Arabidopsis thaliana: one gene and its partner. The protein of the gene in region 1 interacts with the protein of each later gene in a biochemical or structural test. Each region holds a gene or a part of one and is shown in the gene's direction. Other genes may lie near its edges.

Evidence for each region.
Region 2: the proteins of AT4G18520 (region 1) and MORF9 form a complex in vitro, tested with the Arabidopsis thaliana proteins (one study listed by BioGRID).

Annotation. Positions count from the first base shown.
Region 1 is NC_003075.7:10,214,348-10,218,919, reverse strand, and holds AT4G18520 (Pentatricopeptide repeat (PPR) superfamily protein), read left to right. Parts: upstream 1-1,705; 5' UTR 1,706-1,816; coding exon 1,817-3,670; 3' UTR 3,671-3,824; downstream 3,825-4,572. Other genes in the region: AT4G18530 (lysine ketoglutarate reductase trans-splicing-like protein, putative (DUF707)), read right to left, coding at 1-76, 170-274, 357-440, 658-762, 1,163-1,171. UniProt on the Arabidopsis thaliana protein: Required for proper chloroplast development. Involved in the regulation of plastid gene expression probably through regulation of plastid-encoded polymerase (PEP) dependent chloroplast transcription.
Region 2 is NC_003070.9:3,845,273-3,849,807, forward strand, and holds MORF9 (plastid developmental protein DAG), read left to right. Parts: upstream 1-1,947; 5' UTR 1,948-2,000; coding exon 2,001-2,362; intron 2,363-3,138; coding exon 3,139-3,236; intron 3,237-3,333; coding exon 3,334-3,399; intron 3,400-3,493; coding exon 3,494-3,666; 3' UTR 3,667-3,952; downstream 3,953-4,535. Other genes in the region: DUF2 (agenet domain protein (DOMAIN OF UNKNOWN FUNCTION 724 2)), read right to left, coding at 119-203, 271-390, 480-566, 672-1,073, 1,166-1,600; AT1G11440 (uncharacterized protein), read left to right, coding at 4,146-4,535.

The DNA of each region.
Region 1 (4,572 bases):
TAACTTTGTTAACTAGCTCCTTTTGCTTGATACCGACCGCCATGGCTAACAAACTCATCGAATGGTTAGGCCTTCTCTGAAAGAAATATACAGCAAAAGATTAAGCTACACGAAAAAAAAGCAATGAAACTTTCCAAATCTTTGAGGAATCATGTAACTACTAAATAACCTTTTTTGTGTCATCGTAGTTCCATAGATGTTGTGTTTCCAGGTTCGATGTTTTCTCGATAATTCCTTGCGGTAGTGCTTCAGTACCCACTGGCTTATTGAAATTCTAGTGAAAGATATATATATTTGTAAGTTTAATATCAAAGAATCTCATAAAACAAACCTCAAAGAATATTTCAAAGACAAACCTTGCATGTACTGGTTGTTGTTGCATTCTGCATCTTATCAGTACTGTTATGCATCTTATCAGTGATTTCCCACTTCAGCAACTTCTGCAGATTTATAATCTTATACATCAAATTCAGAAATCTAAACTTATTGTTCTAATGTTGACTATAAAACCAGAATTATTCAACAATGTCATGTTATTTACATGTCGGAAAAAAACACTACTGATTACACAAAAAGACAGCTGAACAATTTAACCAAAATGACAGTATCATAGAACACATATAGATCTTAAGTGATGCCAAATACAAAGAAGTTTACCTCTTTAAAGTCTTTAGCAAGATAAGCATTGCAAATGAAGTAAGCACCACAAATCAGAGCAGTGGTGATTAAGACACTACAGAGACACGATCTATTCATTGAACCCTGCAATTTAGAGAATTGATAATAAGACTTTGAGACGAAAACATAGATCAGAGCCTAGAGACAAGAGGTTTTAAATCACACATCAGAAGAACACTGAGCAAGGTTATAAACTATTAACAATATTTGAATCATCAGTAATAAAAAATCTTATTTGATTCAATAGGACAATGAGGACAATTTGGAAAAGACAATAATTTGACAGATATTTTTTTTAGATTTTCCTCTATGTTTACACATGAGAAGAAGATATAGCTAAAAAATTCCTAAACTATGCACATAATTATCTAACTGAATTCATCATCGTCAACAATTAAACAGCCAATAGACACAAAAATTGGATATATGAATGAAATCAATAAAAAAAGAAGAGACCAAGGAAGAAGAAAATATGTATTCTCACCTGTTTCATGAATTAGATGATTTGTTTTTCTCTGTTTCTGCCTTTTGTGTTTCTCTGAAAATTGAAGCTTTTTTTACCCTCTCAAAAAGGTTTCTTTTAAGACAGAATAAACCCTTTTCGAAAGAGAAGAGGAAGAGACCAAAGTAGACGAAGAAACGAATATCCTGAACTTGGTCGTTTCAAATTCTCTTCTCGAATTTGGAAGCTTTAAACAATAAAGATTCTGTTTTTTATCTTCTTCCGAGTCTAAGAAGAAGCTTTTTATTAGCTCAGTTGCTTCATAAAACCCAGAAACGGTAAGTGATAAAGAAGATTGAAGTCAGTCAAAGAGACACGTTTCAGAGATCGTGTAGCAAAATTCAAGGGTTTTCAGGAGAGAGAGACAACAAATGCAGAGAGGAAAGTGGGAAGTGATGAGACACGTGTTTTACGTTTATTGGTTTTGATATTAAGTCGTGTGTGTACTGTATATTTGTCTCTCGCTTAGGAATTTGAAACCGACCGAGATATTATTTGTTGTCGTCATAATTACCAGATCAGATTATAAACTTTTAATTCTCTTTACCAAAATAAATAAAAAAGAGAACTTTATCTGATTTTTTTTCCGGCGGGAGATCTCTGTGTGAAGCTTCTTCTCTTTCTCCATCGCCGACAATGTTTTCGTTATCGTTAATCCAACCGCGTCTCCGGATTTCAGAGATTCCGGTGACTCAATCCTACAAATCTCCGACGATATGTTACAGTAGCGATTCAAGAACTAAGCGAGAGGAACAGAGACACGTGAGATTACCTGGGTTTCGATTAGTTTCTGGAAAGAGAGCATCTTTCGATTCGGGTTTTAGTGGTTTCAAAGGAGAGAATGTGAATCAGGATGATTCGTCTTCTTTCGATAGCGAAAGAGTTGATTATGCTCTGTTAGCGGAGTGGCTACAGTCTTCTAATGGGATGCGACTCATTAAAAGGATCCATGCGATGGCGTTGAAGTGTTTTGATGATCAAGTTATCTATTTTGGGAACAATTTGATTAGTTCTTGTGTTAGACTTGGTGATTTGGTTTATGCACGTAAAGTGTTCGACAGTATGCCTGAGAAAAATACTGTTACTTGGACTGCTATGATTGATGGGTATTTGAAGTATGGTCTTGAGGATGAGGCTTTTGCACTGTTTGAGGATTATGTGAAGCATGGAATACGTTTTACGAACGAGAGGATGTTTGTGTGTTTGTTGAATCTGTGTAGTAGGAGAGCAGAGTTTGAGTTAGGGAGACAAGTTCATGGTAATATGGTGAAAGTTGGAGTGGGGAATCTCATTGTGGAGAGTTCTCTTGTTTATTTTTATGCGCAATGCGGTGAATTGACAAGTGCGTTACGAGCTTTTGATATGATGGAGGAGAAAGATGTGATATCTTGGACTGCTGTTATATCGGCGTGTTCGAGAAAAGGGCATGGAATTAAAGCTATAGGCATGTTTATCGGAATGTTGAATCACTGGTTTTTGCCTAACGAGTTTACGGTGTGCAGTATTTTGAAGGCTTGTAGTGAGGAGAAAGCGTTAAGATTCGGAAGGCAAGTACACAGCTTGGTTGTTAAGAGGATGATAAAGACAGATGTTTTTGTGGGAACTTCGCTGATGGACATGTATGCTAAGTGTGGGGAGATTTCTGATTGCAGAAAAGTGTTTGATGGAATGAGTAATAGAAACACGGTCACATGGACTTCGATTATAGCTGCTCATGCTCGGGAAGGTTTTGGTGAGGAAGCTATCAGCCTCTTCCGGATAATGAAGAGGCGGCATTTGATTGCTAACAATTTGACAGTAGTAAGCATTCTTAGAGCGTGTGGATCTGTTGGAGCTTTATTGTTGGGGAAGGAACTTCATGCACAGATTATCAAGAATTCGATCGAAAAGAATGTCTATATAGGAAGTACTTTGGTGTGGCTGTATTGTAAATGCGGAGAATCTCGTGACGCTTTCAATGTTCTCCAGCAATTGCCATCTAGAGATGTGGTTTCATGGACCGCTATGATCTCTGGATGTTCGAGCTTAGGACATGAATCGGAAGCGCTAGACTTCTTGAAAGAGATGATTCAAGAAGGTGTAGAGCCAAACCCATTTACATACTCCTCGGCTTTAAAAGCTTGTGCGAATTCAGAATCTCTTCTTATCGGTAGATCAATCCATTCCATTGCAAAGAAGAATCATGCTCTATCAAATGTCTTTGTGGGAAGTGCTTTGATTCACATGTATGCAAAATGTGGATTTGTCTCGGAAGCTTTTCGGGTTTTTGACAGTATGCCTGAGAAGAACTTGGTTTCATGGAAGGCGATGATAATGGGTTATGCGAGGAATGGGTTTTGCAGGGAAGCATTGAAGCTAATGTATAGAATGGAGGCAGAGGGATTTGAAGTTGATGATTATATATTTGCAACAATTCTCTCTACTTGTGGAGATATTGAGCTCGATGAAGCTGTTGAATCTTCTGCAACTTGTTACTTGGAGACATCTTGATCTTTCTTCTTTAGAATCTCTTTTTTTTTCAAGTTCTTTCTTATATGATAAAGTTTATGAAAAAAAAGATGCGTTCCACAATAGCACCAAATGTACAAATTTCATGTCGAATATTTCTTCTTTGCAATTAGCCAATGCAAGAATTTTAATGATGACCAATTATATCTATTAAGAAAAAAGTAGATTGATATATTTCAATTTAAGACTTAAGAACCTAGTTTTAATGGGCTTTTTCAAAATAGATTTATGGGCCTTAGTGACACATTTCCATTTACAGCTTGAATGAATCCATTTTTTTTCTTTGACGACTAAAATAAAAGATTCAGTTGAGGTGCCAATAAAGTGTGATTTTTTTTTGTAAGGTTGGATCTTGTTTACTAATAATTTGAACGCACTAGTTAAGTAATACTAGTATTTAATCAAATTTCTAAGTTGAATCTTTAAACAAACATTTTTAATGATAAAAATATGCTATATATAGACTATATGAAGTCCCTTTACTTTTTTTAAAAATGATTTACAATTTCAATTGAGGTCATGATCATCTCTTTCTTGAATCAGAATGCACACTATAGGTCCCCACTTTGGCACAATGAACCGAGTTGCTGCTTCCAAGTTTATGGCCTTTTGATGGTTTTATATTCTCATCGTAATTAAAGCTTATTCTTTCCATCTTATATAATGCTTAGATAATCTTAAGTGCCTGGATAAGACCCTTTGAATTTGTGTTGATTAATGACTATTTCGATACGTATCTATACTGGTTAATAGACGAAAATTTTATATTATCAACTACCTGCCTCTTCATAGTACTGTTTTATTCTAGTGAGAAAACATTTTGTCTTTTGAATGATGTAAAATGCGTAAACTATTTTATTTTATATGTTATGCCTTATTTTTAG
Region 2 (4,535 bases), on another chromosome or scaffold:
AGATGAACGCATACACAACACAATGAGAAAATAAAGGCTTATCTACCAGTAATAGTACAATGAGACCATTGCAAGCGGGTCCTACATTCCAGAATGTGCAATGAGAGTTAAGACATACCAGTCTTATTGATGTATGAATTGAGCTTTAGACCTCCTCTTTTCCTCTTTCGAGTATAATATTTGATCTTAGGCTCCTCAGGCATCTGTGCATAGAAGTGTTAAACCAAAAGGAGAGCCATCTCAAAGATAAATAACAATCATAAACAATACCTTCTCTCGAGTTGACTCATTTCCAAAGCCATTCTTCATTGGCACAGGGGATACCTTTCCTTGGGTTTTGTTCTTTGTTGCAGTTACCCCCAGGGTTATAGGTAAACCAGATTCTTTTTTCTGGAAAACAAAGACCATAGAACAATTTCAGGGCGTAGAAAACAAACAAGGTTATAAAAGAATCCACTAGCAGGGTTATGACCATATACCACATCATCAGCCATCTCATTTCCCGGTGGTTCCTTTGTCTGCACATTTCTGTTGCCGTCTAAAGAAGTTTCTTTCTGGCGTTTTGGCTGAAAATGGAAATAACATAACAACACTTCAATTAATCCTCAAAGATGTCACACTAATTAAACCAAACCAACACAATGTTGCCTGCAACTAGTGATACAATTTACCTTTGTTCTTTTATGCCAAACTCCATCTTCCCACTCCATTGGAGGCCTAATATCAGAGTGATTAAATTGCGATGCCTCCTTTGTTGCCCCGAAACTTACCATGTACCTTCCCTCAAAGACAATTCCCCTGACCACACCTTGACGCCATTCAAAACCACTAAACGCCTCTACATGATCCAGCAATTCATACTTTCCAACAGATAAAGGAGGCTGCATAGGCCTTAGTCTTAGGGAATCAACAATTAAATTTTTCGATTCCCGGCAGCTATAGGACTTATTCCAGTACTTGACAAGAAACCTCTTGTCCTTCTCCAACTCCTTAATGACAATTACCGGAATCCAAGCACAATCAAATCTCAATTCCACCATTGTCCCGCAACTAAAAACAGACTTGACCAATTCCTTCAAAGACAAAAAACAAACATACAACAACGGATAAAGTTAACAACTTTTTCATGCAAAGGCGAAACGATTTCAAAAAAAACTCATCATACCTTATTATCAGGTCGGATCCATTTGAAGCCGGTCCAATCAAGATGAACCCTCAATTTCTTTTTCTCAAACTGAATAATGTCTGGTGGGCAATCGAAGTAAACCAAAAACTTCTCATCCTCCATTGTTTTTACCACCACACCAGTCCACCACCCATCTTTGAGATAAGCGTCGACCATCAAGCCTTCTACAAAAACGACGCCGTCGTTCACATCCTCCGACGGGACAGGACGAATGAACCTCTGATCGACGAATTCCGTTAAAGGAGCCAAACGGTGTTCATTGAGCTGCGTCAAGTAACGAACTTTAAGCTTATTGTGTCCTGATTTCGTTGGATTATCTTCCAGAATCGCTCTGTAATAAGACCCTTTTAACTCTTCTTCTTCAGAAAAAACTTCTACTTTGTCGTCTTTTCTAATGAATATCATCTGCTCCATCTCAAAAACCCTTGAATGAAAACTAATAACGGCTCATTTTTGCTCTGCTAACCCTAAATCTAAAAAAAGACTTTTCTGCTGAAACCCGAAAACCATAGATATGATTATATGAAGGAGACTTTTTGCAACCAAAACACAGTGCTACTGTGTCTGTGCTTAGTGTCGATATTCACGATACACATCGGGGAAAGTGTGTTTTCTTTTTTTCTTTCCCAATTTACTTTTCTTTTTTTTTGGCGCTTGAAATTATGAGAAAATGATTTAAGAAATTATCAGGCCCAAACTATCTAATGGGCCTAATTAAAAACGGTGTCGTTTCATAGGATCCTCATCACGAAGCAGGTAAGTAAAAATATATCTTATCTTCTCCAAAACTCTCTCTTCGATTTCAGCAATTGCAATGGCTTCCTTCACAACAACTTCTTCTTCCTCGCTTCTCCTCAAAACTCTTCTCCCCGTAAGCCACCTGAATCGTTTCTCTACACTCTCTGGTATCCGCGTTGGCGATTCATGGACTCCTCTGCTCCGGAACATCTCCACCGCTGGGTCTCGGCGTCGAGTGGCGATTGTGAAAGCTGCGACGGTGGATTCGGATTACTCGTCGAAACGGAGCAATAGCAATGAGCAGAGAGAGACGATTATGCTTCCTGGTTGCGATTACAATCATTGGCTCATTGTAATGGAGTTTCCTAAAGATCCAGCGCCAAGTAGGGATCAGATGATTGATACTTACCTTAACACTCTTGCTACTGTTCTTGGCAGGTTCGTTTTCGCTTTCTTATTGATTCTCTTCGTTGTTGAATTAGTTAACTAATAGACGACATTTACTTGTGTTGCTAATGGACTTGTCCTTTGATTGAATCCAATGTTGCGTATAGGAAGATTTGGTTTTTTGTTAGATTAGGGTTTTTGATGATACTTTAGGGTAAGGGTTTAGTGAGCTGAGTAAAGCTTTCAGCTTTAAATTTGCTCTGAAGTTGACCTAGTTCCAGAATTTGTTCTTAATATCAGGTGTAATCTTTAGCTGACTTGTTTTTCGTCTCTTGATATGTGCAAACTTATTGAACATTGCTGCATATTGAACACAAAACATTGGTGTCTGATTTGATATCTAAAACTTTGTGCTCTTTAGCGTAATTATGAATGAAATTAGGGGGAAGAATAGAAGCATCTATTTTTGCATATTTTCTTCAAGCTATGTATAAATTGTAGGTGATTGTGCATGGTTTCTGTTTGTTAAAAACTTGATGTGGACAGTGTAAGCTAGTAATGTATGTAAAAGGAGTGTACAATTGTGCAGAGCATTAGATTGGGACTCCTGACTAGAAATTTCTTGGTATGGCAGGGAACGAGTTTGTGTTACACAACTAATGACTAAAACTTTAGTTTATTTGGTGCTACTCTCTATTTTAGAGAACTTTGATTCCGGTTTACACTATCCTGCTGATGTGATAACCAATTAATGTACTTGTGTCCATTTTCCAGCATAACCAGTTCATCGTGTTTGCTTATTATATGTACTTGTGTCTATTTTCCAGCATGGAAGAGGCGAAGAAGAACATGTATGCATTCAGTACCACGACATATACTGGATTCCAATGCACCATCGACGAAGAAACATCTGAGAAGTTCAAGGGTTAGTTAGTGAGCAAGAAGAGCCTTAGTCCCCTTATTGAAAGTTCGTCGAAAACCTTCAAGATACTGATCGTTCTGTCTTTTCATTATTTTCACAGGTTTGCCTGGAGTTCTCTGGGTCTTGCCTGACTCCTACATAGATGTCAAGAACAAAGACTATGGAGGTAACCCATCAAAGCCTGATTTTAAACTTTCTAGGATCTCTCTCTCTCCCAGTATCCATGTTCTGATAATTGAATCGTTCTTTCTCGGGTTTAGGCGACAAGTACATCAATGGAGAGATTATCCCGTGCACATACCCAACATACCAACCAAAGCAGCGCAATAACACTAAGTATCAAAGTAAGAGATACGAAAGAAAAAGAGACGGTCCTCCACCTCCTGAACAGAGGAAACCAAGACAAGAACCAGCAGCCTCTGATTCCTCTTAAACTATAATAAGATAATGGAGTGTTTGCAAGTTTTGATCTTTTGGTTAGCACTTAGCTTGTTGAAGTCGTGTGTAAAATCGTCTAGTACCAAATGATGATACTGTATCATCACACCTTGAACAATAGCTATTGTTATGTTAGGATGAAATTCAACTTGAACCATTTGTTTATTTAGGTAATGTTCGGTTTTGGTTTGGTTTGATTCTTTGTCAACCACTGCTTTTTCCCCACGTTTTCTCAACACCAATTTCAGACAAGACAAAACAATTGTAGGGTCACACACTCGTCACCAACTCACCATCTACATCAGTCGTCCCTACCTTATCAACACATCACATGGAAATAATACACTACTCTCTCACGGACTTGGAACCAAACATTCCAAATTAGTTTAATCGACAGATCACTGCTCAGCTGAATCGTTTTCTCTCATCAACCGCAGAGAAAGACTTTCAAGATCATCCTTCAAGCTCTCTCAAATGGCCAACTTCTATGAGAATTACCAGAGTCCTTACGATTACAATCAGGTTAATAATCTCTACGATCAAAATCATTATCATTACAATCAACAGCAGCAGCAGCTTGGTTTCGAACCAATGAGTTATAATTATTACAACTGGAATGAATCTGAATCTGAATCTGAATATGTTGCTTACTCTGGTTATGATGATCCAATGAGTTATAATTGTTATAACTGGAATGGATCCGAGTCTGAGACAACCTCTGCATATGTTGCTTACTCTGTTTCTACCATGTCTGAGCCTAAACACTTGTTCTATGATCCGAATCTCTATACAACCTACGAATCTCCTCCTCAGTTTAGTATCTATTGCTCTGTAGCCTCTGCTCTTGACTTCAACGAGCCGGAA